Linked DNA regions of Alligator mississippiensis. The protein of the gene in region 2 interacts with the protein of the main gene of each other region in a pairwise test. Links are inferred from orthologs where the notes say so. Each region holds a gene or a part of one and is shown on either strand. Other genes may lie near its edges. The genes, in order: PKM, HTT, TCERG1 and HOXC4.

Region 1 (7,527 bases), on a different chromosome or scaffold from region 2:
GCAAAAATGGGAAAAGGATTTTGAATGGAGATTTTCCCTCTTGGCTGTTAGCTCTGGGTGACAGGAGAGCACCCACACAGCCAGGAGATAGTGATTATATCCTTGTACAGACAATCAAACCAACAGCAGGCTTAGCTCGCGTGGTGTGGCAGAGAAGACCTCACCATCTGTGTAAATGGGAGGCTCTGTCTGTGCATACCATGCTAATACCATTAGGAAAAGTGAATCTAAATGCTTATTTACAATAGGGCGCTGGCATCTTATTGTAACTGGAGGTGTGGTAGGCACAGACTGAGTCTCCTGATTGTATGGTGGCTTCTGATGCAGACAAGAGGTGCTAGCCTCTGTCAGAACCAAGATTCCTCTGTAGGCAGGAAATGTCAGGCCAGATCAGACAGCTATCTAGCATCTCCTCTTCCACCTCCTGTAGCTGCAGAATCTGCTCCAGACCTAGCCATGCTTAAAGGAGCTTGTAGTCGATTTTGTGCCCATTTTCAACAGCCTGTGTGTCATGGGCATGAGGCAGCTTTGGTCATCATGTGCAGATGAGCATCTGCATGGAACTGCTCTTCTCCTGTCTCTCCTCTCCTCCTCCAATCCCCTTTCCTCTCCCTTCGTTGATGGGGAGCTAGTGGTGGGAACAGATCATTTTCCTTTGGAGGAGTATAAGCTGGTGTGGTTTTTCCAATGGGAACTCTTCTCCTCCGCTAAGTGTTGCTGCTGCTCCATCGCCAGGAAGTCTGGGAACCTGCAACCCTACAGCCCCACCCCACTGGGCCCAGCTCCATGCACAGATTCCCCCTCAGCTTCCTCTGCCTGAGGGGATGTGCGGGTTCATAATCCCTGCGGCACAAAGCCCCCTGCCAAGCGCCTCACAGCCAGGGCCCATTGAGAGAGGCTGAACTTGGAGGTTAAATCAGGGCCCTCCTGTACCTATGAACCCTGCAGCTGGGCACACAGGGAACCGGTTGGGGTGAGATCCCTCCAGTGGCTCCTGTGACTTGTCCCCACCACCCTCCTCCCTGGGAGGTGGAAGGGATCATGTTGCAGCACCTACCATGTCTGGCCAAATGCTTCACCAGCCAGGGAAGAAAGAGATAGTAGGAGATAAGAGTCCTCAGAAAGGTTTCCTGAAGCAGAGAAAAGTGAAGATGGAGCTTTCTCTCAGAGAAAGAGGAGCTGTGTCAAAGCCTGAATATTAGACAATGGTGGAATAAGCCGTCCACAGGGGACACGCCTTCTGAATCCCCTCAGGCACCATCTGGCTCATGCCTTGATGCACAAGGGCTCCTGTCTCATATCCATTTATATCCTAGCTGGTGTCACTGTAGATGAGAACAGCACAGCATGGGGGGTCACAGACTGAACCACCACTCCTTACAAATCCGGCCAGATGTGCAGCCAGCAGTGCCTCTCACCCCCAGAGGTGGCCAGTGCCCGCAGAGAAACATGTCCTTTCACTTTTCATTAGCCAACCTCTCTCAAACCACTGCCCCCTGCAAGCCAGCCAGCTGAGGAAGGAAGAGCCTATTAACATATTCATATTCATAGTCTAATCCTTGATTGACCCCTATTACGTTCTTGATTTGGGTGAATCTCTGAATCACAGGTTAATTTTCTAGCATTTCTTTCTATTTATTTGAAATGTGCTTTCTCTTCATTTCATTATCTCTCCCCTTGTTTTTGTACTATGACAAAGGGGGAGCAGAAGCATGTTTTCCAACTCCTCTGCACTATTCATTAGTTTATATACCTATTTCATTCATTTATACGCCCCTCTCCTGCCCCTTCAAGCCCTAACTGATTGATACTTGAACCCCTTAGCTAATAATGCATGAAGTTTAGGTTACTTAGTCAACTAGGGATTCATTATTTTAGATTCCAGGTTCTGGCTACAGCTGTAAGGTTGACAGTAGCCCCGAGTAAGAGATATAGGCCAAGATTTTCAAAGTAAGAGCCCTGCATTTTTAACTCAATCCTTAGGTTGCTAAATAACTGACCTGCTGAGGACCCCACAGATCCCACTGAAGTCAGTGGCTGCTTGGCATTTGTGAAAATTAGGCCACATTTAGGATCCTAAGTTTAGATTCCTATTTTTGGCCTAAGACCTCAGTGCTTAGGCACATGCTGGACAATCTCAAAATGCTGAGGGGAGAGACAGTGTGACCCAGTGTGAGCAGCTCATAGACTGGTGCTCAAGAGACCTGGGTTGTAGTGTCAACTTTGCTGGTGATTTTGAGCAAGTCATTTACCACTTCTTTGTGCCTCAATTTTCTCATCTGTAAATGGAGAAAAATTATACTGATTCCCTTTGAAAGGCATCTAGAGGTCTATATGATTGAGGGGCTTCATATAAAAGCTGGCATTGTTATTAAAGCAACATAAACAGTAAGACCCAGATCCTCAAAGGTATTAAGGCCCCGAATTATTAGGCCTATTTGATTTCAGCTGGAGCTAGGAGCAGAAATGGAAATCTGAGTCTAAGTGAGCTATATATCACTTTCCTGATTTTGGTGCGCTGGCTGTTATCCCTGGTCCTTCGGCATCTATAAGCCCCTGTGCTGGAGAGTGATTCATGCCACCTTTAATTGTACCTAAAAGCCTCTACATTGCTTAAAAATAAAAACCTCTGTTGTTTTGCTTTCAAAATGTTTCTCAGTGTAACATTTCAAGATTCCAGCCTGATGAATATGTGAGGACAGGAGGAATGCAGGCTGATACAGAAGAAAGCAGGCATGCTACATTATTCACCAAGGTACATCAATTATTTCCAGCTGAAAGAAGAGACAATGTGACCTTAAAACCACGGCAGACTAGTCACAAGCTGCTGCTCCATCATACTAGCTCCTTCTTGGAGGTTGCTAATCTGCAACACCCTCCACCCCCCTTTCAACACCAGCAGCTATGAGGGAGCCTCAGCCCATGCAGGACATCTGACATCCCGGATACAGGCAGCTGAGTGATGGGCCGCTTCGTGGGGGAGGGGGCATCTGGCAGTCCCAACAACTCAAAGCTAAGCTCCTGTGGGCAGATTAGGATTTTGAGAAAGGGGGAGCAGATGATGCGATACATCATCCCATATGACACAATGCACGTTTTTCTCTAGTTAAAGAGAAACTAGAGATGCTACTAATAGGCTAGGGGGGCTAGCACTATATTATTTCATTTAAAGTGGGCTCCTTCAGTGCTGCCTGAATAGAAATGCGGCTGCCTCTCCCAGGCAGGTGGTTTTGAAGTTGGGGTGGAGCAGGAATCCCCCACCCTGGATCCGACCCTGCCAGATCCTCCATCTCTGGGGGGAGTCTGCACAGCGTGGTGAAAGGTGACTGCCTGACCTTTTGGGCAGTCCTGAACTAGCCTCCAGGGAAGTGGAAAAAGGGCCTGGTAACCTGGGCCCTCAAGCTGTGTGCAAGCCAGCTGCACGCCAGCCAGGTCTCTCAGCAAGCCAGGCTTTTCGGATAAATGTGATATCTTTTATTAGACCAACTCAAATAGTTGGAAAAATTCTTCTCTGCCAGCTTTTGGGTACAAACATCCTTCGACAGACTGAGGGAGCATCTGCGGTTGTTTTGTGCTCTTCCTGGATGGGACAGAAGCCAGAATCCAGCATCCGGAGCAGAAAACAACTGCAGCCACTTCCTCTGCCTGGCAAAGGGTGTTTGTACCCAAAAGCTTGCAAGGAAGGCTTTTCCCAACTATTTGAGTTGGTCTAATAAAAGATATTTGGATTTATTTACCCAAAGAACCCTGTCTGCCTATGTCCTGAGGCCAACACGGCTACGACCTGTAGTCCTGAGCCAGGTCTCTCTTCCCTTCGTCACTTGACCTGCTGGGATCTCTGTGGCACTTTGCTCCCTGGACGCATCAATCTCCCCAGCAGCTCCCTGGGAGCCCTGCTGCAAAAGGCGGGAGGCAAAGAAGGACCCAAATGGGAGAAAAGGAACAATGGGAAACAGAAGACCCTTTGTCCCAGGGTTTCAGGGCCCTGAAAGGCAGGGGGAGGAGGTATTCAGCAAAGGTCCCCTGTTGGGCAGCCTGACCTCTGTGCACATGGGGGAGGGGAAAGGGGCAGCAATCGGGTCCTGTCCCTTTAAGAGGCACTGAAGCACGCAGCCTTGAAAAGGATGCGGTTCCCAAGGAGGCTGCCGGGTGATACGTGCTGTGAGGGGGAGAGCCCGGCCCTACGGGTGTGGGGCCCTGGACGGAGCGCTCCCTGAAAACCCTTGGTGCGGGGATAGAGAAAGGGGGTGGGGAACGCGGCCCCTTTAAGAAGCTGCTGCTCCTTTAAGACCCGGCGCTGTGGCTGCGACTCCGACCGCCGCGAGCTATAACGGGCGCGGCCCCTTTAATTGCCCCTGTCACTCCCCGCCCGCGTGCCCGCCGCCTCCCTATTGGCCGCCTGCCCGCTCGCGTGGAGACGCATCACTTCCTCGCAACTCCGCATCTTGTGCTTCCGCTGAGGGGAGAGAAAAGAAGTGCGGCGCGGCGCTGTCCCCCGAGCGGCGGAGGGATCCGCGGGGCGGTGCGGCGGCCGCGGGGCCGACATCACCTTGAGGCGGGCGCGGGGAGGGACCGGGCGCAGAGAAGCGGCGACGCTCGGAGGGGACAGACGCGGGTGAGAGCTGCAGGTAACTCCCCCCCCCCCCCCCCTCCGCGCCGCGTCGCCGGCAGCAGCAACAGCTCCCACTGTCTGAGCCGGGCCGGGCCGCAGGGTGCCCCGCTTCCCTGGGCAGGCGGGCGGCCGGCGCACGTGGGAGCCGCGGGTGCGTTGTTGGCGGAGCGGAGCGGAGCGGGCCGGGCCGGGGCCACCGCAGCTTTCTTCAGAAAAGAAAAATGCTAATTTTCGCCGCCGCAGATGCGGGGGGATGCGGGAAATAGTTTGTTCCCCCGTGGGGGGGGGGGCTGGGCTCGGCTCCGTTGCAACATCTTGTTTCGGTTTAGTTTCCCCTGCGGTGACTAAGCGCGGGTCGGGCCCCGCTGGGCCGGGTCGGAAACGGCATCAGACCGCCTCCCCCCCCCCCCCCCCCCCCCCCCCCCCCCCCGCGATGCTGCTGGGCTGGGACCGTGCAGGGGCGCCCCTCTGCCGCCCCCGGCCTGTCCTTGCAGACACGCCGCGGCTCTCGCTTCTGCTTCACCAAGGGAAATGAAAACCATGCTTGATCCTCTGCTTTCGGAGTCGGATGTGCATGGATGGCGCTTTTGTTGCGATCCAGTGGAAGCTTCACTTCTGTCTCCTCAGATTAATACAAGTAGACTTGTTCCCCCCGCCTCTTCTGTTTTATTTATTTTAATGTGTTTGTCTTCAATAGCTGGATGCCTGGGGCATAAAGTAACAGAAATCGGGGCTGGGCTTTCAGATCTGTGTGCGAGTGTTAATCTCTGCATCATCCCTCAAAGGCTTCTCGTTGCCTTCTGAACTGGGCTCCTTTAAATAGCTGCTCCCTAGCCTTTATTTGTGCGACAGGGGCCTCGCAGGGTAATGTTACCTTTCATCCAGCTCGAAGGCCTCGTGGAAGAGGGCTGCCTCATTTCCTAGACCCAGACAAGGCAGCTATGTGGCCGTGCCCAGCCGTACCTTTCTAGTAGGTTGCTTGAGACTAGAATAGACGTGGTGGGACTTGATGCCCAATACAGGGATCCTGGTTTTCTCCAATTTTAAAAAATTCCCCAATTTCTGGTTTGTTTTTTTTAAAAAAAAAACAAAAAAAAAGTAACTCCAGGTCCACATTTTCCTGTGATTTAAAATGAAACATCACTATAGGTATATATCTATATACTTTTTAAATCATGGAAAAATGTGGATTTGGGGTTAGGGCATTTTTTAAACCAGATAAAACCAGGATCCCTGCATAGTGTACCATGATGATTTCTGTAGCTAGTTCTCAGTCCTGTACTCCCAGTGATGCCAGTTAATAGCAACAAATTCCTCTGCTCTCCCAGCAGAGGAGTAATTCTGCTATGACGCAATGCATACGTATTTGGGCCTGCGTGTTTTAAGATCTTTCTGGAAGTAGGATCTGCTAGAAATTCTGGCAAGTTGGCAATGACGGTGCAGGCTGTCTGTCACTGCAGTAAATGTAGGATTGGAGGGAGCTGCATCCCCTAATTTTGTTCCAATCCGTTGTCAGTTGAAAGGAAGAACATGGCATCTCAACTGCTAACGAATAACAAAACCTCAGTGAAATGAACACATTGCATTCTCATGCTTCTCATGTAAATCATCTAATTCAGACTCTGCTTCCAGCAGAGAGGGAGAGGGGCAGTTTTGACTTCATAAGGTCCAAAGAGGAATCCATTTAGGTGAAGCTGTAAGGAGGTAAGGTCAGGACAAGCCATGTGGCAGCTCTGTCTCTTTCCTGTCCTTTGGTTTTGGACAAACAATTTCTAGTCCTAGGGGAGATTGGGTAGCCCATCCCCTTCTTGAAAAGCATCTGAGTTTAGCTGCAGTGTGGTGTGATGAACAGCACGTAGGAGAAAAGAGAGCTGCAGTACCTACTGGCTGCCACCACTGAATTACTTGCGCAGGAAGGCTTTAGCCAAGAGGGCAGTGCAGTTGCAATAGCGCAGGGCTGTGACCCATCTCTAACCTCGGCTAGTTTTGAATCTTTTTCTCTGCAAATACACTTGTTTCTAGCCCCCTCTGGATGGTCACAAGCCTTGTTTACTGACAGCACGGGAGTGGGATCTTGAGATTTCCTGAAATAACTTTAGCTGCACATGCTATCAAAGCAGTACAGATAAGTGACTGACCCTTTGTTTGCACCAAAAATACTCCTCTTTTTCTGGATAGGTTATTGGCCCTCACCTGTGTTGATCTGATAAAGTTATCTCGCCTATAGAGAACTCAGTTTTAAGCTCATCCTAGGACTTGACCCTCTCTGGGAGGAGCAAGTTGAGCTGGGTCATATGTTGATCTGGCAGCTAATCCTTGCTCATCCAGGGAAAGTGCTGATGTCATGCAGTACAGCTGTTCCAACATGACCTTTTTCAATCCTGTTAACTTTTTCCTCTGAAAGTCAGAGGAACATTAGCATCACAAAGACAGGCAGCAAATGTATAATTGAAGAGAGAGAGTGCGTGTCTGCAATTGTCATTTGGGTCAGGTGCTTTAATACTTCAGCTGAAGTGACAGGTGGTGATTCCTGGAACATGCCCAATATCACAGAAAAGAAATTGCTTGGAAAATGGGAGCCATTTTGCCTAGTTACATAACAGTGCAGGGTATCGCATACAAAAACCATAGGGAAGCAGAAAATCCTGTTCTGCTTCCCAGAAAAGGAGTTGCTGAATCTTTCTACTTGAGGCATTGGTTCAGGGGACAAACAGCAAAATGTGAGTTGTAGTTAAAATAAGTCAACTTTTCCTTGGAACAGATGTAAAACTGACACAGTCCCTTAGATGTTAATCTAAACAGCTAGTTCTTGGCCTTATGTGCCTTGATATTAAACTTACCACAGATGAGAGACTGAGCTTCTCAAATGTAGAACAAGCTCCTCTCACTCTTGCCTTTTATTCCTTACATACCAG
Region 2 (7,593 bases):
AAAAGACCTCCATCTTTCCCGTTGCAGCTCTACTACTATGCAGAAAAGAAGGCACACAGCAAGGGCAAGAGAGATTCTGGCAGCCTTCAGGGAACAGATATAGGCACCTGTCCTTCGGAGAGGAATTTGGGCTCTAGGTTTCAAGCAAGTGGAACCTTTGCTCAATTCCATCCTTTGCCTGAATGATAGAAGGGGATGGGAGTTCAGCCTTAGGCCAGTACTTAGCGTTTTTTATTGGCTAGCTCTAGGCAGTTGCCTCAAATCCCACCTTGAAGTGTCTTAACTTTCTCTGTGCAGGGAATCCAGGCACCTAACTGCATTCTGTTCTAGAGGCTATGTACCTACAAATTGTGTATTAGGGAGTCTAACTTGTCAGGATTGAAGTTGGACCTAGCCCTACAAGGAACTCTGATACTTCTTTTATTTAACTTAAAATAATCAAATATAGGCTTGACTAAATAAAAAATTTTCCATAGCTGAGGGGATACTCTGGAGCATCCATGTCAGGGAAGACAGCAAAGCTGAATTTGTATGGAACCAAAATCTATTTAAAAAAATCTTGTGTTAGTAATTGGAGCTTATGCTGCAGCTTTTCTCCAAACGAATGACAACAGCTGGCATAGCACTTATTCAATAAACAGAAATCAGTGATGTGAAAACAGGATGTACAGAAGTAAGAAAACAGAAGTGTAGGATTTACTGTGCAGTTACTTTTGCACTAAATAGGTCACATTTGTTCCTTTGCTACTTTTCGAAAAACATGTGCCTGAGTTGTCAGAGTTTTTAATTACACAGGGAAAATATTCCTTCCTTGTTTTAACTAATCTAACTTGTATAATGGGGGAGTTGCGATTAAACATATTCTAGCACCAGTTTTAAAACCAGCAGTTGTAACTGTATGGAAAATTCATTGCAATACCACATTGATTTTTTTTTTAATTGGATGGGCACTGACAGACATATTGACTTAAAAAAACAGCTTTATAATAGTAAGCTGTAAATTTAGCAGTAATTAATTTTGAATAGCAGAAGAAAATACCCTGGGATGTGGCACATCAGGCATGAGAGAGGAGTCCTTCCTTCTGGGAAATCAAAGTATTTGGAACATGTTTTATGGTCAAATAGGACAAGATATGAAGAGGTTATTCTAATTCAGTGAATGCTATACAAGTAAAGAGGAAGTCCATATAAACATAAAACATCATGCTGGTATTTAGTGCAGTAATATAGGTACAAAATAAATTTAGTTTGACTTTGACCTATACCTGCCTCAAAACAAGGGACTGGAAAACAGGAAAAAATGGGACCTCTTCCAGATTAAATTATTCACTTTGACAAGAATTGATGATGCGTTGCCAACTTTCAGCATAGCTTCCTGTAAAAATGTCTCCATTTACCCTGGTCAATGCCTTTGTTCTGCAATAAATGCATAGGGAGAAAGGAAGAGTAGGGAGGTGTTTGGCTTTTCCATTTTGATAAAGTAAGAATCAAGCAGCAATAGCGGTTGGCAAGCAAGTGTGTATTAAGTGCAGTTGCTGGAAATGGGTATAATCTGTTCTGTAAAACTATACTGAGTACTGATAGTACAGCAGTATTTGGCAAGTGTAATTTGCACTGTGTGTATAATGTATGAAATACATACTTCGGCCTGATAGTGGCTTCCGAAGATCTCTTGATTAATACATCCAATACCAGCCTTTGTCCATTCCAAGGAAAAAGCTACTTTTAGGACTTGTTTTTATGAGTTTATACATCGTTAGCTCTGTCGCTCAAGGGAAACGATAAGCATCCCTTCCACATCCTACATTACTGAGTTGAGCTTTTTAGTTTAATTGAATATACCCCTTCCCCTGACAAAAATGCGTCTTTGCCTTGCTTTGTACAATGTCTGTGAGTGAGAAGTACAGTCTGGTCTTCTGCTTCAAAGGGCAGGAGATACTGCTTGGCTGCTGCCATGTCCCACAGGAGAGGGCATGATTATTGCTTTGGCAATGCCCATCCACTCTGCTCTGCTGGTCCAAACATAATGAGTGGGGTGTACCCAGCCCTTGCTTTTAAGAAAGCATGAAAGCCAGGCCTACTGAAAATGGGCATAAAAATGAAAGGAGGGGTAGGCTGGGGGAGAGCTCCATTGGACTTCTACTTCAGGGTGTCTCCTGACATGGGCAACTGAAGCCCAGTGATCCTGTTGACTTGTTGTGGAGGGTCTGTGCATTAGTTGTGTGTGCATTTTTTTACATACAAGTTTTAAGTAAACGGGTTTAGAAATGGATTTGCATGTTGAGTTTCAAATGTATATTCTTTGTACATGTATGCAGTAAACACCCCCGCAGGGCTGGTGAAGTGGGGATGTGCTTGTCAGAAGCTGTAAGTGGCACCCCAGCAGTCTGGTTGGTTCTCTCACTTGGGTTACTTCAGCTTGTCCCCCTTGGAGGTTTGATGCTCTGTGCCATCCCACCCCTGGGTAACTGCCTTCACTTCTGTGGGGGAGTCCTGAACACCCTTTTTTGCTGTGCTGGGTGTGTCACTATGTTTCACCTCCCGGATGCTCTGATCCTAGAAATAGCTCGATCTGAATGAGAGAAGCAAATCAAGAGCAGTGAATTGTGAGGCACAGTTTCAAGGGAGTCGAGATACCCAGGCCAGCGATGGCACCTGATGGTAGTAAGTCATGACCCTAGGAAAGAACAATGGTCACGAATCATGACTCTGTTTCCTTACTCCCTACTGAATAGGTCAAGAGCTCCTTATCTTAGAAGGAGGAGTGGGAATTCAGACACTTGAACCTGAAGGGTATAAGACTCCCCCAGACAAAGGCAGAGGTGGGCGAGCGTGGAGCTTGCCTCACACCCTGGGGGCCCTGGTGTAGCAGAAAGCCCCCTTTTCCTCTTGCCTGCATTTGCTCTCCCCTCTTAGAATATGTTTTTCCTCTTCTACCTTTTCTTCCTTCCTCTTTCTTTCACTTTAAGATAAGGAATTGTGTTTTAAAATTTGTATGTGTGCATTTTGTATCTCCCCTTGTATTTTGGTATTTTTATCTATTTGTGTGCCATGGCATTACTCTTGTAGCTTATATTTTATACTCCTCACCTTTCAACTTTCAACTATAAATGTCTTTAGTAACAATGTTAACAAGGGCAGGAGTCAAACTGTTGCTTCCCTGTATCAGGCTGGCCCCTGAAAGAGCGAGTGAATCAGTGACTGAATGCATAACACAGTAGCAGACAGCAATTAACACCTAGGGAAACCGCAGATCAACCAATGGAAGAAATCAATAGAAGACAATGTAACAACCGGGAAATCTCTAAACTTCACTGTTCAAGGGCTAGAAGCCCTGGTCTGAGTTAATCAACGCCGGGGACCAACTTTTGGGATGAATATCTCCAGATCGACCGCTCCCAGAGCCCTATTCAAAATTAATCAACGGACGCTCCACGAGGGTCAACGACCCGTGGATTGGGCAAACCTGAAAACTGGGAAGTCACCAAAGTCTGCCAAGGACAGGTAAAAAGCAGTGAAAAGTGACCGTTAGGGGCGCCCTCTTGATCTCCAACTTGACCAGCACCTGACCTGTCCAGTCAGAAGGACCAGCCGGCGACCCCCTTCTGGAAGATAACACCACGCTGGAAGAAGCCTCAACGGCAGACTCCAGCGCCTGTGGGATAGCTATACCTGACTCTCGGAGCTTGCTACTGTGGGGGTGTGCATGTGTGCGTGTGGGCATCAGCTCCAAGGCTTATGATTTAACTTCATTACAGTGTTTCAATCCGCCTAATAAACCAGAATTTTAAGGATCCTGAGTTGGACATTTGTAGCCAACACTGGGACCTGGCACCGCGCAATGAGCCGGGTTTCTCTCTGCATGTCCCTGCTCTCGGGGACGCTGCCTGACTGCTAATGCCCCAGTGCGCTGGTGTCTGCTTCCGAGGGAAAAGCAATCAGGACCGTGGTAGAGGTGAAATCTTTTAGATTTTTGCAAAAAACATGATTTAATTGCAAGCTTTGGGGGCGGGGGGGTAAAAGTCTAGTTGCTCTAATAAAAGAGATCTCCTCTACCACAAGTCCTGATTGCTTTTGCCTCCAGACCAAGCCAGCTACAACCTAGATATTCAGAGGAACTTGCTCTGTCTTCTCTGGATAAAACACGAGCTCACACCCCCCGGGACACCCCCATGCCCTACCCCACTGCGACGGGGGCAGCTCGGGGGCGCACCCAACGTGCCAGTCTCCTTTCTAGGAGCTGTGGGGGCTGCTATGAATCAGGTCCCCCCTCTCCCCTCCGCCTGGCTCAGCCGCCGGGCACGAAGCATCGGCACCGCATAGCCAGCAGAGGGCGCCCGCGTGCCGAGTACCCGAGCGGCGCTAGGACCCGCCCACTAGCAGAGCCAAGTGGGCGGAGCGCCCGGAGGGAGCGTGGCTCCGTTCGTCACTGCAGCTCTCAACCAAGCTTGTCATTTCCCTCCCTACCCTGCTAGTGGCGGGGAGGGCGAATCCCGGGTCCTCGATCTTCGTTTCTGATTGGCGGATGAGGCTGTCGCTCCCCCCCCTCCACCCGTTGCCCTCGTGAGCGCCTCCGCGCGGGGCACGACGGGACGTGGCCAAGATGGCGGCGAGGTAACCCGGAGCCATCGCGGCCCCTGCAGCGTCTCGCCCGTTCCTCGCGGCGCCATGGCCACTATGGAGAAGCTGATGAAGGCCTTCGAGTCGCTGCGCTCCTTCCAGCAGCAGCAGGGCCCGGCCACCGTCCCCGAGGAGCCGCTGCACAGGCCGTGAGTGCCGGGTCGGGCCGAGGGACCCCCCGAGGCGGCAGGGAGGCAGCTCCCGCCGGGCCGCGGGCTCCTGCTGCTGCCGCGGAGCCGCTGCCCAGGGAAGCTGTGGGCTTGCCCCTGTCGGCAGAGGCGGTGCGGGCCCTGGCCGGGGCGGTGTCGGCGTCTGCCTTCTGCTACGGGGGCTGCCCCCGCTGGCCGGCTCCCCGTGTCTGAGGGGCTGAGCCTCCCTCAGAGGCGCTGGGTGTTGGCTGCTGCTGGCACCAAACCCGGAGGTTTCTGGCTGGAGGGCCTTGCCCCTCTGCTCGGGGTCAGTCCGGTCGCCACATTTCATGCCAGGGAGAAATTTTTAAGCTATGGTCAGGTTGGTGCAGGCTGAGGGGGTTTTGCTTTCCTTTGCAGGATTTGTTGAGCGATGTCAACAACATCTCATAGAAACAGGACGCTGGCTTCAGCGGCGCTCCTGCTTTACCTGGGGCAGGCTCGGGTGTGTTGTGTCAGGGCTGGCGGTCATCTTAGGCACGGTTTAGATTATGGTTTGAATAGGGATGATCCTGTGTGGGGCAGGGTTGGACTGGATGAGCTCTGAAGGTCCCTTCCGCCCCTGCTTCTGCGTGACTTGACGTCTCTGTTGTTAAGAGCTCAGAAAGACCCTGCAGGGCAGAATGGTTTTTAATGTTGTGGGTTCTTATTCTGGGGTTTCTCTTGTGAACCATGTTTGCGCAGCTAATGGTACTGACGTTGTGTGGCATCCTGTGGCACCCCGAAAGGGTCTCGCAGCACCCCAGAGTGCTGAGGTGCCTTGGTTGAGCTTCGCTGACTCGGTGCGTGGTGTAAAGTGGTGCGCACTTTACATTGGAAGGAGCAGAAGGACGGAGAATATGTAATTTCTGAAGTGGAGGTTTTGGCAGCTTTAGGCATGGAGCCAGTTAGCAGTGGAGCTGGATTCCTGGGCACCAATGCCAAACCCAGACATCAGGCAAGCTGAAGGCAGGGCAGTTTTGCCGCCTTATGGAGTATCCCAAGGAGATTATATATATATATATATATATATATATATATATATATATATAGCACAAGCTTTAGTGAGCCTAAGCTCACGTCAGATCCTCTGAAAGAATCTGCCTAGAGCCTGCATCAGGGAAGCTGACATGGTATACATTGTTTCAAGAGAGTTGTCTTGAATGATCTTTATTTATTTTTCATGTTCTTATGGCAGGGCATGTGAGGAGAGCCGCCTGTGCCTCTGCTATGGAATTATATCCAGCTTTTCTGCATGTGTTGGTGCCTCTTGCTTCTTGGAGGGTAGGCTGAGGCATTTTCATCACTGAACAGCTTTAATACAAGCTTTCTCTTATCCAGTTTAATTGCATGTATCCAGAAAGGTGTTGATAAAGTAGCCTCTTACAGTCCTTCTCCAAAAGAGCTCTGGCTGTGAATTACTGCAAATATGGGCATGAAATACAAAAATAAAAATTTGTCTTGGGAACCTGCAAAATAAACATTGAGAAATCAGACTCTGACCTGTCCTTATCAACTCTGTTGCAATTTAGAATTGGCATAGGAAATTGGTTGTTTTGGGAATCCCCAGGAACTGTATGAGTGAAGTTACAATACAACTGTACTCTAACACTACGAAGGGTTATATTGGTAGTCTTTGCTTTAATTTTTTAAAATGATTTTAATACCCACATCCAGAAAGCTTCAGGCATGTGCTTTAAACTGAACTAGGGATACTAATAAGGGAGAAAAGTCTTATCTTTTTCTGTATGTTTACTTTTCATTTAATAGACTTTTGTGTAAAGTCTTTCACTGCTTTACCTCCTACAACTGTTATTTACAATATGATAAACGATCTTCTCAGTTGTTCAACCGTTCAGTTGTTCAACAATCTAATCCAACAGTCTTCTTAATTGTTGGTTTAAATCTTTCATTTAGAAGGAACAAGGAAGAGAAGGTAACTTGAGAACTAGATGTGGCAAAACTACAAGCTGGCTGGGTGGCTTAGTGACATGTACTTGTTCTTACTGTGAAAAGTTATCACTGTAACTTACAAGACCTTGCTTACTCAATGTCACTGTATAAATTACAACTTCATATTGTAAATAACTTTGAAAATACAGGAATACTATTAGGATGTTGGGAGGCTTGGAATTCAGACAAAATCACTTTGTTTGTAAGAAGTACCTGCATATAGTATAAGATTATAATCCATTTCTGTTGGTTATAGGAGGGAAGCAACTTGTGAATTTGTTTTTCTCTCTCTCAACTTTTCCTTTTAAACATTATCAAGCTATTTACAAACTCTCTTATTTTTTTTAACTGCCACTTCTGTCTTGGAAGAATGCAAATACTGAGGGTCAACTATACTTAAATACTTTAATAAAATTCCATCTGAATGCTGCTGGGTTTTTTTTTTAATGCGGGAGGAGCAAGAGAGAACTTTTTAAAGCATTCCTTTGTGCCATCTTCAACTTGGATGTTGTTTAGTCACAAAACAGCAACCTGACTAGACATAAAAGTGAAACTACTAGTTTCTTGATTACTAATTTTGAAAATTACATTTAATAATAATATTAGTTTTGTAAGACGAGCGTTACCTAAAAGAACCACATTCTGTTGTATGGACAAATAAATATTTTTAGAAGTAGCTTTGGTAAAAGTTGTGACAGCATGGTGAACTTTCAGCATTTAGCACGTCCTCCTGAGGATATGGGCAAACTGTTCAGTTTGAAGTGAGTTAGAGGGGCAGGTGGGTGGGAGGGAAGAGGAGGATTTATTAGGGAGTAGGTGACTGCTCTACTCCACCTGAAGAGGACCCGCATGA
Region 3 (7,434 bases), on a different chromosome or scaffold from region 2:
TAACTAAAAGTGAGGACAAGGTCATGTACCAAAAATGGTATTTTATTAAAAATTCCTTAAAACTTAGATTGAATTTCTTTCACAACACCATGTGGCATCCATTCAATTAATAATTTCAAAGCCCCAATGAATAAGGAGGTGCAACATCTTATTACGGTCTTTCATTGGCCTTCTGCCCTATTCTATGTTGGCTTTAGCACAGGAGTCCTGTTCACCTGTCTCTCTGTGATGTTTTGCCCACATAACTCATGTGTGTTTGACTGTAACCATGAAGGCAGGAAGGCACCTTAACATCTTCTGGCTTTCAGGAAGTGAGGTGCTATCAGGAGACAGAACAAACCAATCAGCACGGCAGAATTTCCACATTCAACCTTATGGGAATCTGCAATTCTGTATTTAGCCACTAAGTGGTGCTGGAGGAAGCTATACATTTGCAGAAATTCAAGCTGCAGGCAAGATTGCAGCATGAGTTATCAGCAGACACTGTCACTTTCTCCTGAAGTAGGGACCCAAGTAAGGCCAAATCCACACTGGTATGAAAATATCCGTACACTAAACTGAATGAGCACTCCTTATGAGCATGAAGCTCTACTGTTTGAACCATACAGTAACCCATTCTCATGAGCAAAACAGGCTAAACTGCTAAAAAGGGGTTTCTACCAGCAGTCATGTGTCACCACATCATACTTTTTCACATCCCTGACAGACGTAGTTATACTAGTACAAAGTCTGTAATGTAGACCCAGCCTAAGGAACAATTCCCTGGACTTAAGAATGCAATGCCTCCCATGCAACCAGGCACAGGAAGAAGATGCATTTTTAATTCCCACCAGCTTTGCTCCTCAGAGTGGAGCCAGCCTAGAGGCCATGCCCTGCCTTCTCTCTGTTCCTTGTAGGAATAGCTAATACTGCTAGAGGAGCACTGCTGCAGTGGCTCTAATACTGGCAGTTCCCTGCCCTTGGACCATAACATTTAGGGGCAGGAGGCAAACTTCTTTGTAGCCTTTCTTCCAACTTTATGCATCCACTCAGAGGCCAGTTGCAGTCTGGTGTGATGAGAGGGATGGCTGATGCTTGCTTTCTGAGTTGCTTAACTTATTTCTGCACAAAATGCCAGTTGGCAAAAGGACTTCTTCCTTTTTTTATATTTTAATAAAATGTAGCTGAAAAAGCAAATCACAAGTTCTTTTTGATGCTTAGATACATTCACCAAAGAGCAAGTGAGACAGACTCCACTTCTGTGCAAACTCACTGTAGACTCCCATCTGTGACTGCATGAATATTTGATGCTAGTGGCCAGTCTACATGCCCACATTACTGACACTTTTGCCCAGAAGCTACTGTACAATTATCAGCCATAAGAATAACTTAAAAAGAGCTCATTCATTAGCAACATCAAAGGAGCTGGGGAAATATTTTTTCCAGTTAGAAATTTTACACGTCAGGCCACATAGGAAAGAATCTTACATCCTAATAATCCAAATGACTGGGAGCTGTAAATAGGACATAGTGGGAAAGAGGGACCTTGTAGACACAGGGTAACATGCTGGGTTTTAGCCACCACACCAAGGCAGGATTTCTATAGCCTAAATTGTCTTCTGTTCTAAGCATCAGACCTCACTGAAATGACCCAAGTTTCCCCAAGAGGTGAAAAGCCTGTGCCCTGGCACAGAATTTTCCGATGCTATACTGTTGTGTCTTTGTTCTTGAATGTTCTCATTTGAGACATTGCCTGTTTAATTCCTAGTTAAGTCCATTTATCACTGCCTACCATAGCAATCCCTACACTCTGCTACTTATATCACCAGTAATGTTACTGCACATCAGATAGGCCCAAGATGATCTGACCACCTCAAAGCATAAGGCTACTTGGATGAAGTGAGTTTTGGTTCAGGCATCTCTCTAGGATACTGATTTTTGTCCCATGGGAATTTTCAGTCTATATAAAAAGCAATAGATAACACCTAGCATGACATGCTTATTTGTTACCACCTACACACCTCTTACTTTCTCATTTCTGATTTTAAATATTCTAATTATTCTTCTAGTATCCATGGTTGCCAAGAAAAACTTCTGAAGCCTGATCTGATGCCTGGTTTAGTAATAAGGTGGAGACAGGCTGTAAAAGCTGCCTAAGGTTAAGGTAATTTAATAATGGATATAAAAACATCCACCTCACGTGGGCATTACAAGGTTTAATTAATATCTATAATGCAATTTGGGAACTTTAAATGAAGGATGACATAAAAGTGGAACCATATTTCTAAGAATGTATTTATTATGATTCCTAACATACATGTTAAATCAAAACCAGGGCCCTGAAGTTTTTCAGCACCTGAACAGACTGAAACTTGAGATCATTTCACACTACTGCTGTTCAAGGGGATCTCCTAGTGAATGAAAGGAGAATTGCAAAGAGCTTGTATGGAAGGAACCTTGTATATTTTGTATCCAGATAAACCTTCAGCAAAGTAGCATGTCATCTTTGACATCTATACTGTGCATGAAAAGCAAAGGCAAAGATATTGAAGCAAAATCTGAAGGAGTCATGACTCAAAATTCTCCCTTCCCTAAGCAATCTCCCCTCACCACCACACCCCTCTGTTAGAGCCCTTCCCAAAGTTAGCAGACCGACAAGCCGTCTCTGGCTGGGACAGAAGCAAAGTGCAGAATAGACCCAGCTGGTAAACTGGAAAGAAGTCTTAGGTAATCCCATTTCCTAGAACTTTAAGGAAACTTTTATTTATGGTCTTTGGAAAAAAGGATGGTCTCTTTTTTTATACCAGTTTTGTAAAAAGCCTACAAGGAGCTCTTGGTCCATGACTCATTAATGATGTAGGCTCCGAGGTGCTATTGCACCTTTAGTGATACATCCCCGGTTTGCAGCTAAGGCCCAGTTCTACTTAAATATTTCTTGTAATTGTTAACTTTATTAAAATCTTTGACTAGCCTAACCTTAAATGATGTTTCAAGGCGATTTTGAAAATCTCTGCCATATAATAATGGGGTTTTGGACTCTCACAAAAACACCAGTCACTCAGGGCCTGGCTCAGTGAAAATTAGGGGCCAAATGGTGGGGAGAAGTATGACCTGATGGATATTGGGAAAAACAACTGTTTTATAAATAGGCTTTCTTCAGAACGAGACTGTAGAGAATTGGAAGTGTTTATTTCCACATAAGTTGTCCCATTGTGAAAGTTACAGGATTCCAGTTTGCCCAGTTGGACACTTTTAGCATAGCGCCTTGCTGTGTGGGCAAACTTCTGCTTACGCTAACGCAGCCAGTGGAGTTAGTGAGTGGTTGTGCATGGCAATGTTGCCACCTTGGTGATTTCATTGCTATATTTAACAACTTTTTTGGTTCCTATTGGCAAAATGTCAGTACCAGGGGCCCTGGATCAGTTAACTCACGCAATACCCAGTAAATTGTCTAGGGATGTTTTTGACACCTCTGAAGATCTAATTTTGTCTGGACAATTCCTGTTTTCAGGGCTCAGCAATGCCAGTGCACAAGGATTTGCTACAGCCTATCACTTTCAATTGATGGTAGGCAACATTCCTTACCTCAACTATTAGCTTGTTTCTCGTAAGACTTGTTACCACACAGCTAAACTAACCAAGTTGTGCCTGTCCCATGTAGGCAAAGACAACCCCTGCAATCTGGGAATAAATTTCAACACATTAGTGGCCACTATGCTCTTAGGAGGAGAATTTTTTATATATATTCCCAATAAATAAATAAAATAGATTACACCCATCTATCTAATGGGGGTGGGGGGTATGCGGCAGGGCACAGGCCGTGCCTTGAAAGGAGCCAGAGGCGGCTCCTGGGTCGGTCCCAACCCACGTGCCGCCGCCCGCTCAGCCCCAGGCTTTAGAACGTAGAAACACGAGCCACGCAACACCCCGGCCTTATGATGGAACTCAGCATCACCGAACGCGGCCTGATTGGCTGGCACCTATCCAAACAGCCCCTCATTGGCTACCGAATTAGAACTTCGTTTCCTGCCGGGCTGGCAGGCGGCCAGGCTCTGGGGGGTGGGGCGGCGGCCCGGAACTCGTGCCTTCCCGGGATTGGTTAGGAATTCCTGATCACGCCGGTTTTTGATTGGCCGCCTTCTGATCTTTGATTGGTTCCAATCCCAGTCGCCGGGCCTGGAGGAGCGCGGGTTCTTTCCTTTCCCCTTACCTCGGATTGGTTGACGCGGGACGTGAGCTCAGTTCCGCCGCGTCCCGAGGTCACCCGCCACGTGACGCGAGGTCGCGGAGGCCGTGAGGCGGTGGGGTTCAGCCAATCACCGCTCGTCGGCCTCCCCTCATTCAAAGTCGGCGGGCGCGCGGGCCAATCCCTGTCGGTCCCGCCCCCGCGCGCGGCGAGTGACGGCTCCGCCAGCCAATGGGAGCGCGGTGGGGCCTGCGCGGCGGCGGCGGCGGCGCTGGGGCTGGCGAGGTTGCGATGGCGGAGCGCGGCGGCGGCGCGGGTGGAGGTGGCGAGGGGGACGCGGCGGCGGCGGCGGCGGAGCGCTACAACAACGAGATCAGGTAGCGCCGCGTTGAGGGGCTCCGCGCTCCTCCCCCCTCCCCCCGGTCCCGCGGCCGTTGGGCGCTCGGGGGAGGTGGCCTCCCGGGCCCTGCCCCCTTCCCCTCCCTCTCCCCCTCCCCCGCCGGGCCTGGCTGGGGCTTGGGGCGATGCTGCCTCGGGCCCCGCTTCCGGCCATCGCCTCAACTCCGCCACTCAGCTAGAGTTTCTTTTAATTGATTTTTTTCGGGTTGGAAGGGATCTTGGTAGATCGAGTCCGACCCCCTGCCCCGGGCGGGAGAAAGCGCTGGGCCGGGACAGCCCCGGCCAGGTGCTCGTCTGCCCTCTTCTGAAAGACCCGCAGGGTAGGGGAGAGCACCGCCGTCCGTCCGATAACGTACCGTGTGTGCTCGACGAACTGAAATCAGACGCGGTGTAATCGGTGCGTGTTGCCGTGCGCCTTATTGTAACCTCTGGTTTTTTTAGATTATTTTTATTTTTTTGAGTCTCCGTGCCAACGTCGGTATTGCACTGGCACTAAATGGTGGGCACAATTGTTTTCCTGAGAGCGTCAGAAGAGCGTTTGTTGGTTGCAAAGGTGAACGTTGTTTTTTTTCCTCTATCTGTGCACTTATTAAGGTACCTGCGTACTGGGCTGGGTGGCACCGCGGGTTTAGCACCTCAGCCCTTTGCTGCTTCACATCAGGGCTTGACTCCTGCCTTGGGTCACGAGTGAAAAGGATGTAGGTGGTCTCGTCCGAGTCCCTGGTGGATGCTTGTTCACGTTACAAAAGAAATAAAACCCTGGGTGCAATTGGCAGCTGTTGTTCGAAGAGCCCAGGATGCGCGTGTTTATAGGCATGGGTATATAGCAGGTCACGTTTGAGGTGCTTGGCAGATCGGTTTGAGGGAAGCTTGCACAGCACCTGCTCCTTCTGAAATCGTCCGATCCATATGTTACTTGTTTTTCTGACTAAAAAAGAAAATTATACACAAGAGTAGTGAACCTGAAATGGTGAGACCAGGGTGGGGAAACTCTTAAAGCACTTGCACTTTAAATCCTGGTCGCTGAGTGTTAAATTTGTCACATCCTTTTGGTTTTTCTAATTTCACTTTTTATACAAGCAGCACACGATTTTTAGACCATCCCATAGTTATTCAGCAAACAAAAATATATTTTTTCCTTCTGCCCTGACACAGAATGGCTCAGCAGCAGGCACTGAGATTTCGTGGTCCAGCTCCGCCACCAAATGCCGTTATGAGAGGCCCGCCACCTCTTATGCGTCCACCTCCACCTTTCGGTATGATGCGCGGTCCACCTCCGCCACCTCGGCCGCCCTTTGGACGTCCTCCGTTTGATCCGAACATGCCTCCAATGCCACCTCCGGGAGGGATTCCTCCACCAATGGGGCCTCCACATTTACAGGTAAAGAGCTTGCGAATGGTCAGGTTGCTTTCTTTTTGCTTTGATGTGGGTAGAAGTGATAAGGCAAGCAACAGCCAGAAGTCTTTAAAGCAGAGAAGAAGACAATAATAAATGCTGAAAAAGATGGGGGTCAGAGTCCTCTTAGATCAGGGGCGGGCAAAATGCAGCCTGTGGGCCAGATGCAGCCTGCCAGGCCATTCTGTCTGGCCCACGGGGCCCATAAAAGATTTAGAAAATTAATATTTATCTGCCCCTGGCTGCCTGTCAAGTGGCCCTCGATGGCTTGCCAAAACTCAGTAAGCGGCCCTTCGCCCAAAATAATTGCCTGCCCCTGTGTTAGGTGAATCATTTTGCATCAGTTTCGGAAGTGTTAATAGTAGATCACTGTTTTGATAAGTCATCAATACTAACCTAATAAAATCACATAAAAAATCATTAATAGAGACTCTTGGCCAGTGCAGAGTTGTGGTTGTCTTGCAGTGCATCATACCCTTCCAAAAACATTGGCATGGTACAGCCATGCTCAGAATTACTGAAAACCAAGCATTACACAGCTAAGGTGTCTTCTCTGCCTTTCTGTTACGTAGCCTGCACAGCCACTTGGAAGGGGTCAGTAAGAGTGGCTTAGTAAGAGATGTGAGTGATATTTATTGCTCATGTTTGACAAAGATAAATTCCAGTATGCACTGCAGCTGCAGCCAGTGTGTGGTGTTGCTGTATTTAAGGGTGAAGAGCTTGGTTGGAACGGTTGTGATGTGATGCAGATGTTGAGGGATCAAGTTTGCCTTGTTGGAACTTTCTTGAGGTGGAAAAGGAGGTCGGCCTAAGGCCTTTTTTTTTTCTCTTCTCCCTCCCCATTGTTGGTGGCAGCAGAAGAAGGTGGGCAGTTTTGGGCTCTTATTGTTGATTAGGGAGCAGTGGAGGGAAAGGGCCCTCCCATGGTCTGGTGCAGAAGCTATAGGGAGGATACGTGGGTATATGTTTGAGGGAGGAGGAAGAAGGAGAGAGAGATGGCTTGACAGGCTTGTGAGGAAGAAAAGTCACTAGAAGGAAAGGGGCCCAGCTGTCATTCCTTTTCACAGAGCTGAGCTCCTAGAGAGTAAAGGTCCTTTTGAGGGTGACCCCTTAATCATTGAGGGTTTATAGGGAAGATAATTCTATGGAAACACTGCTCTTTGACAGAGCTCTGATTACTGTCCTTGTATATCCAAATTATAAGTGATCTTTAGGATATTGAACTTATAATAGTTACTGTTTAAGGGTTTGCTTGTCCCTCAGTAGCAGTGCCGGAGCACAGCCTGAAGAGGCAAAGGTTGGCAAAGAAACTGCCTCCACGCTTTTGACATTGCTCCCACAGCTGTTGTTCCCGCTCCCTGTTTTGATCCTAACCCTTTTGCCCATACTTCCAAAGCATGCACCAGAAAAGCCCCAAGAATCTGAAAATGTTACAATTCGTTTACATTGGACGATTAGGCCTGAGGAACTTTTT
Region 4 (7,004 bases), on a different chromosome or scaffold from region 2:
CCATAGCTTGCCACTAACCCCACCGCGGTGCCTTCAGTTCTCTTGGAGAGTTGGAATAACTAAGACATTGCAAATATTTCCCTTGCGCTCGTCTTCCTTTCGCTCAGCGATGGAGATGGGGCTGTGAAATCTTTCCATCTCTTGTTTTCCCCTCTCCCTGCTCTAAATGGACTACATCATATAGGGCAAGAGGAAATAAAAGTAGACGGGTTGTTTACCCAGATAGGAGAGATAAGCAAGCACAAAATTCCTAGGATGCATTGATTCACTGCACAGCGTCTGGGGTTTGCGTGGGACATTCCTAACCCAAAACACGAAGCTTAAAGGATTTAAATGCCTCGGTGATGGGCAAGGCTGGACACTGCTCAGATCCCCAGCAAGAGGCAGGGCTCGGCTGCGGGTTTCATCCCGTATTAAAGCATGACTTCAATGTGGACCCGTGCGCTTACCCAGCCTCCCCTCTCCCCTCTGGTGCCTGTGAATGTGCGACACGGCGTGTGTGGGGCTAGACCCGTGTGCCAGGGTGTCTGCAGGTTCAAGAGAGCACCACACACAAGGTGTGTGTCCATGCGGGGCGAAGGAGTGCGTGCTTGCTTGCAGGGTGTGCGGGCAAGGGAAGTGTGTCTGTCTGTCTGCAGGCATCTGATCCCTGCATCCCAGCATGCACACACCTCCGAGCCCTGGAACCGCACACAACACACGCAACACGGCTGTACCGCACACCCAACCGTTTCTAGTCGGCTGCTTATTGTAGGGCAAACAGACGTGCTTATCAACTCGTTTTCTCCTTGGAAGAGCTACAGAAATAAAATAAGGCTCGCTATAGCCTTCGCTCTTGCCAAAGTAGCCACTTAAGGTAGGCTGGTTTATTAGCCATAAGCCAGACGGGTTTATTTGAACTGAGGTATCATCTTCAGGGTTATTCTTCTGGCATTTACAACCCGGTAGTTATCTTCCCCTTGCTACAGTGCAAGGCGTCTGTGCACCTCTGCATCAATGTTAGCAGGCAAATTCAAGCGAAGTCCCTCAGGGCTATTTCTAAACTCCTGCCTTTTGGGGAGGGGAAAAAAAAAAGATTTTGATGAAATCTTACATAGGAAATACCCAGATTATTATTATTATTATTTTTGTTCACGGGGATTAGGCAAGAGCGAGAACATATCTCATTTAAAAATAAAATAAAATACAAGAAAACGTTGGCGGCGTTCTCTATCCATCATATTTAAACCCCCGGCTCTAAGTAGTTTGATAGGCACAAATAATACAGAACGACATTTATCTGCGCAAGGGTCTGAAGGGAAATTATTGAAACTACAAGTCAAGCAGTTCCCCCCCTCTTTTTTTTTTTTGGCTAACTGTTTATGGGCTGCAGTCAACACAACAGAGTCGCATCTTCAGCTGCCATCCAGTGATTTTCTCAATCATCCCATCATTTCGAGAGAGAAAAAAGAGGGGGGGGGAGGAGGAAAAAAAAGAGCCATTTTATGAGGGGAAAGTAATTTCAAAGAAGATGCGCTCCTCACAAAGTGGCTTATACCGAAATGATCATCGCTTCGACATTACTGAAATTAGACTCATCTAGCCGCCTGCAGTAAGAAATATCATCCTATTCCACGCTTTTTATTAGCCAATCAAATTTCCTTCGGATCTCCATTTGTGATTTGTGAAAAATATAATTCCGCGAAAAGCTGATCTGCAGCTTATTGCTCATTTTGCCTTAATTTATTATTCTAATCACAGCCGCCGCTCCACGAGAATGCATCCATTAGGCTCAAAAATTCGTTTAGATTTTATACCGGAATATGGGCGCAGATTATATTGGAGAGGCAACGAATTTCTCAGGCGTTATGTGTATATGCATCTTTTGCCAACACCCAACACAGCTCGGAAGGGGGTGGGTACAAATAAGAAAGTTTGAGAAACTTGGGGAAGGGGAGATTTTTTTTCCCCACCTGGCTTCAATTTTTTTCCTCACTTCACCCCATTTCTCCCCCAAAATTGGCTTTTCCTTGAAGAGAAAGGGGAGGGGGGGGGATAACAAGAAAAGAGACCTTTTCTAATATTTCATTCCAGCCCAAGAAGTGGAAAAGCAGCGTTGCATGGGGCTGAGATCCTGTAGAAAGGTCATATTAAAATAATGGGCCGAAAGACTGCTTTGGAAACGGGTCGGGCAGGTTGTGGGGTTGTTGGGGATTTTTTTTTTTCCTCGTTGTTTTTTTTTTTTTCCTTGCAAAAGATAAAATGTCCTGTTCATTTTATGGATTCTTTTCTCTCGTCTGCTGCTTTGGAAAATGGCAAGTCCATTGTGTTCCGGGCGCTGTTGTGCCGCTGGCTCCCCGCTCGTAACTTTTAACTACCTGTTATAAAATTTATTGGTGGTTTGTAAAGTGAATAAAGTAATTTCCCTTCCATCCGGTTGTATTGCAACCTTTGTGTTGTTTGGACAGACAGACACACACGCGTGCGCCCTCCCCCCCACCCCCCGCAACCCCCCTGCCCTTAGCTGAAAATAAGCAAATAAAGGCAAAGCGATGAGAAATACCTGCAGAATTGACCTTTCTCTATAATACGAGAGCAGAGGGGGGAGATATGTGTAGAGCCCTTGAGTCCTACTATTGCGACAAAAATGCGGTGATTTTTTTTTGTGGTAGTCTTATCTCTCCAATCTTTGTCCTGGCTCTTGTGTCTAGCCCTGAAGCGAGTTGAGATGGTCAAAATATTTCAGGGGTGGGGGTGGAGGGGGGGGAAGGAGGAAGAAGTGCAACATTTAATCTGAACTAGCAGATCTAACTAAGAATGCTGGGCGATTTGCAAAGGTTATGGGACTCGTCACATGCTCCTAGCAGGCCTCTACATGACAACATTTTTTTGCCCTAGCACCAAATGTCTGTTTTTCTTATATCGGCTTAACCCCCCAAATCCAAATATCAAAATAAAAAAAAATAATTCCTGATACAAAATATGCACCCCCCCCAAAAAAAAAAACCCACCACCAACCTTGTGCGATAAAGGGATGAGGGCTCACAGACAAGTTCTAGCTAGGATTTCCAGACACGCCGTGATTAAAAATAAAAGAATCCCACCACGCCATCCTATAATTGGGAAGGAATTAATTAATTACACATACACAAAAAAAATACCGCCATAAAAATGAAGGCAAAAAAAATTAAAGGAAATTGCTGGGGAAATACGGCATTAGCTGCTCCCCTTTGGAGGTTAATAATATGATCCTTCCCATATCTTTAGTGTTGAGTTAGAGGGCTCGGTTATGTAGCACAGAGGATATGGAGGAAAACCCGAAGGAAATTGGGGCTCAGCCCCGACATCCAAGCGGACACACCCTTGGTGGAAATTCAAGAAAACCCACAACCCAACTCAGTGGTCTTTATTCCTAGCTCTGCTTGAATTTAACAGGGGTTGATCATTGTATGATGATGATTATTATTATTTCAATTCCCCGCAATATCCCTATTTCCCCTCTTTGCCTCCTTCGTGCTCATTCCACTAAGACACTTAATTAATTAACCAAATGAACACGGCGCATAAGGCCAAATCTCCCTGCCTTAAAAACCCAACAACAACAACAAGTCCGGCTGATCCTTCAACAAGGCAGCTCAGACGTGACGAGGCAACCTCGCTCTTTGAAAATCCCCGATATTAATTTGTTCCCTTTAATGAAACTGGGCGGGGGGGGGGGGACGGGAGAGAGAAGGCTTTTTAAAAAAAAATACTAATATTAAAAAAGAATTGTATAAACATGGCGACAGAGGAGAGCATTTGCACTCGTCACAAAAATGCAATGCATTCCTGGTTGTTTGCAGAAAATTTACAGCTAAGCAATAAAAGTTTACGACTGAATCACAAGTTGGATTGGCCACAGGAAGTCATGTGGACTCCATCCATGAACGTGAACTTTTTATTGTGGTTTCTCTTATGACTCTTTCGCAGTAGTCCTTCCTTTAACAGTCCAAGCAGTGCCAGGGGTAGGATGGTATTTTTCCCCCCTCATTATTAGCATCATTATTATTATTTTTTTTGAGATCTAGATTTTTTTTTTCCTCTCCTTGGGGTTGGAAGTGTTGGTTGCCTTGGGCATTTTGGGATATAATGTGTTTACTGCTGCGTCTCGTGCTTGCTTCCTTTTCTCAACCCCTAGGGGCAAAACGCAGTATATTTCCTTTGGACGATGCAGTGAACAGGGGCAGAAGGAGTTGTAAATACCGTTTTTTTTTCCCTTTTTTTTTCTTTTTTAGGGAAAAAAACCCCATGCTATGCCTTGCTAAGCTCCCCCCATCCCCTGTCCAAGCAGAGAAGAAACTGTTTCGCTTTGGTTTCCATCTTTCTTATTTTTTTATATGATTATTATGATTATTTTTCCTTTTTTTTAAAAAAAAATGTTTCTGTGGAGCTGAGCTGCAGCGTCAGTGGATCAGAAAGAGAGAGAGAGAGAAAGAGAGAGAGAGAGACAGAGAGAGACAGGGAGAGGGGGAGACAGGCAACGTTGGTAAGTGTTCCCTTATTGGCTAAAATGTGTAACTAATGATCCATAGCAATGGGTGTTAAAGATAATGATGCATCGGGGTTTTTTTTTTTTGCGAGCGAGGGGTGTAGCTTGGATATGGTAGACTTGTGCTGGGCTTCGGCACCAATGCAGTTAATTCGGGGGAAGAGGGGCTTGCTCCTGCTGATGTCACATTTGTGCCGATCTGGTTTGCTGGAGACAGCCAGGGATGCTTGCTGCAGCCTGCTTTTGCATTGACAATGGTGCAGTGTTCACGGGGGTGGCGGGGGGTGTGTGTGGGGAGAGGGGAGGGGGTGTTGCTGGAAGGCCTCAGATGCATCCGATGGACCATCTACTAGTTAAAATTAAAGGGGGGGGGGATTGCAAGATGGGTGTTGGGTGGGGGAGGGAATAAGAGGGGGGTGGGCAGAGAGGGCAGGGGCCAGCTGTGGATTGCAAGCCCTAAGCACCAGAGCCAATACCTCCATATAGTTCTCTATATAAAAGAATCCCCAAACTTTTCATAAGAGGAAATCAGGGGGTGTCTACTGAGCACACATGCGCAGTGCGGGCCGCGAGCCGCATCCAGGAAGCGTCCTAGCAGCCGCCGTCTCACTCAAGCGGTTTGTGCCATTTTTAATGAGCAATTATGGCGGGGGGGGGGGGATGTGTGAGTGTGTGTGCGTGCAACAAACACGGCCTTGCACGCCCAGCCCCCACTGCCTCCAGCACATGATTTAAGGCCAGGTTCGTCTGCCTGGTTTTATTCCGAATTTCTTCCCACCCCCCACCACCAAAAAAAAAAAAAAAAAGAAGAAGAAAACACCCATCCTGTGCTCACCCTCCCATCCGTACCTCCACTCACACCCGGCGGCTGGGCTGGGAGCTTCCCACGAACCCGGTTCTTCTCCCCCTATTGTGCTCCTGGCCCTCGGCAGGAGATTGCAAACCTTTTCTCCCGGCTCTGCTCCCTATGGACACAAGTTGCAGGCATCTTTTTACATGAGGGTGCTCCTGCTAATTCCACCTGGGTTTCCCATGATGTTGACCCCCTAGAGTTTTATTCAGCATCTATTTCCCCCTTGTCTTTGAATACCTTTTCCTCCTGAAGGACCTTTAGTGAGTGCAATGGAAAGGAGACTTTCTTCTTACACACGCACAGACACATCTCTATCTATCTATCTATCTATCTATCTATCTATCTATCTATCTATCTATCTATCTATCTATCTATCTATCTATCTATCTCTAGATACCTACCATCTCTAGCTCTCTATATCAGCTCTCCATATATCTCTAGCTCTCTATATATCAGGCTGTCCACACTACTATAGAAAGCGATCCACGTATTGGTTTCACTTAAGGGATGCGCTGTTCTAGCTTAATTTTCTTTTCTCTTCTTTTTTTCCTCCTTCTTATCCCCTCGGCATGCCGGCTTTTCGTGAACTGTGTGTCTGTGTTTGCAGTCGAAACTCCTGTGGCTGGAAGTCACAGTATAAAATGGTGGGCATATAAAATGATACCATAAAGTAAAAGATAAAACAGACGTTGTTGTGACTATGGGCTGGGAAGGGGGGAAGGGTGGCAAAAAAAATTGCTGGTCCCTGCCTTCTTATAAATTATTGAGGGGTCCCAGCTATATGAATGCAATATATGGATTGATCGCCTTATCGAAAGGACCTCTCAAGCTGATTGAGTTCAGGCTTAAACCGTGCAACGGAGGGATACTTTCTGCTTTCCTGGGTTACAAAAAAATACGGCCTCTTCTGTCCTTTAATTTCCAGTGGGAACTCGCCAGAGGTTATCTAAAGTGATCTGAGTGGTTTAGAAGTTCCCTGGGACTGATTCTTAATTTGATTTCTCTGTGTGGCGTGGAAAAAAATAACTATTAAAAAAAAAAAAAAAGGAGAGGAAGAACTTGCTAGGGTTCAAAAAGGGACATGTGCTTCTATCCTTTGTCTTAAAGGTTGTTTTGAGAAATATTGTTAAATCCACCTGATCATTCCTGCCGTGTATTATTATTATTGTTGTTATTATTACTATTATTACTACTACTACCATCGTCATCACTATCATTATTGTTACTACTACTATTATTATTGCTGCTATTCATGTTAGTATTATGTTATTATTATTATTACTGCTATTACTATTATGATTCGAAAAATTGCCGGCGTCTTCGGTTCATGCAAGAGCCATGCGACCTGGTAAATTGAAAACAGTTGCTTTCTAATGAATGGGGGAAAAAAAAGAGGCGAGTTTTATTTGGCGTCTTTCGAGGGGGCAATTTCTGGCAGGCTCATTCCTGAGATGATTTTATTTCTTTAAAGGAGAGCACGAGTGTATCCTGAGCTGGGGGTGGGAAGCCAGGGAGACAACTCTGCCTTGGTTTTGTTTCTGCAAACACGATGGGAGACTGTTTGCTGCGATCTCTGAAGTCGTAAAGACAGTTTATGGGCAAACAATGAGCGTTTATTGGAACCACATGATTACAGAAATAGGA

What was found.
Region 1: the proteins of HTT (region 2) and PKM interact in binary tests that used the Homo sapiens proteins (3 or more experiments, as listed by UniProt). The link is inferred for Alligator mississippiensis from reciprocal best matches to the Homo sapiens genes HTT and PKM.
Region 3: the proteins of HTT (region 2) and TCERG1 interact in binary tests that used the Homo sapiens proteins (3 or more experiments, as listed by UniProt). The link is inferred for Alligator mississippiensis from reciprocal best matches to the Homo sapiens genes HTT and TCERG1.
Region 4: the proteins of HTT (region 2) and HOXC4 interact in binary tests that used the Homo sapiens proteins (3 or more experiments, as listed by UniProt). The link is inferred for Alligator mississippiensis from reciprocal best matches to the Homo sapiens genes HTT and HOXC4.

The regions. Positions count from the first base shown.
Region 1 is NC_081834.1:45,149,293-45,156,819, forward strand, and holds the start of PKM (pyruvate kinase PKM), read left to right. Parts: upstream 1-4,521; 5' UTR 4,522-4,628; intron 4,629-7,527. UniProt on the Homo sapiens protein: Catalyzes the final rate-limiting step of glycolysis by mediating the transfer of a phosphoryl group from phosphoenolpyruvate (PEP) to ADP, generating ATP.
Region 2 is NC_081825.1:21,137,652-21,145,244, forward strand, and holds the start of HTT (huntingtin), read left to right. Parts: upstream 1-4,589; 5' UTR 4,590-4,668; coding exon 4,669-4,769; intron 4,770-7,593.
Region 3 is NC_081832.1:64,410,119-64,417,552, reverse strand, and holds the start of TCERG1 (transcription elongation regulator 1), read left to right. Parts: upstream 1-4,434; 5' UTR 4,435-4,456; coding exon 4,457-4,542; intron 4,543-5,005; exon of another isoform or gene 5,006-5,117; intron 5,118-5,719; coding exon 5,720-5,945; intron 5,946-7,434. UniProt on the Homo sapiens protein: Transcription factor that binds RNA polymerase II and inhibits the elongation of transcripts from target promoters. Regulates transcription elongation in a TATA box-dependent manner.
Region 4 is NC_081838.1:8,231,766-8,238,769, reverse strand, and holds the start of HOXC4 (homeobox protein Hox-C4), read left to right. Parts: upstream 1-3,999; 5' UTR 4,000-4,504; intron 4,505-6,951; exon of another isoform or gene 6,952-7,004. UniProt on the Homo sapiens protein: Sequence-specific transcription factor which is part of a developmental regulatory system that provides cells with specific positional identities on the anterior-posterior axis.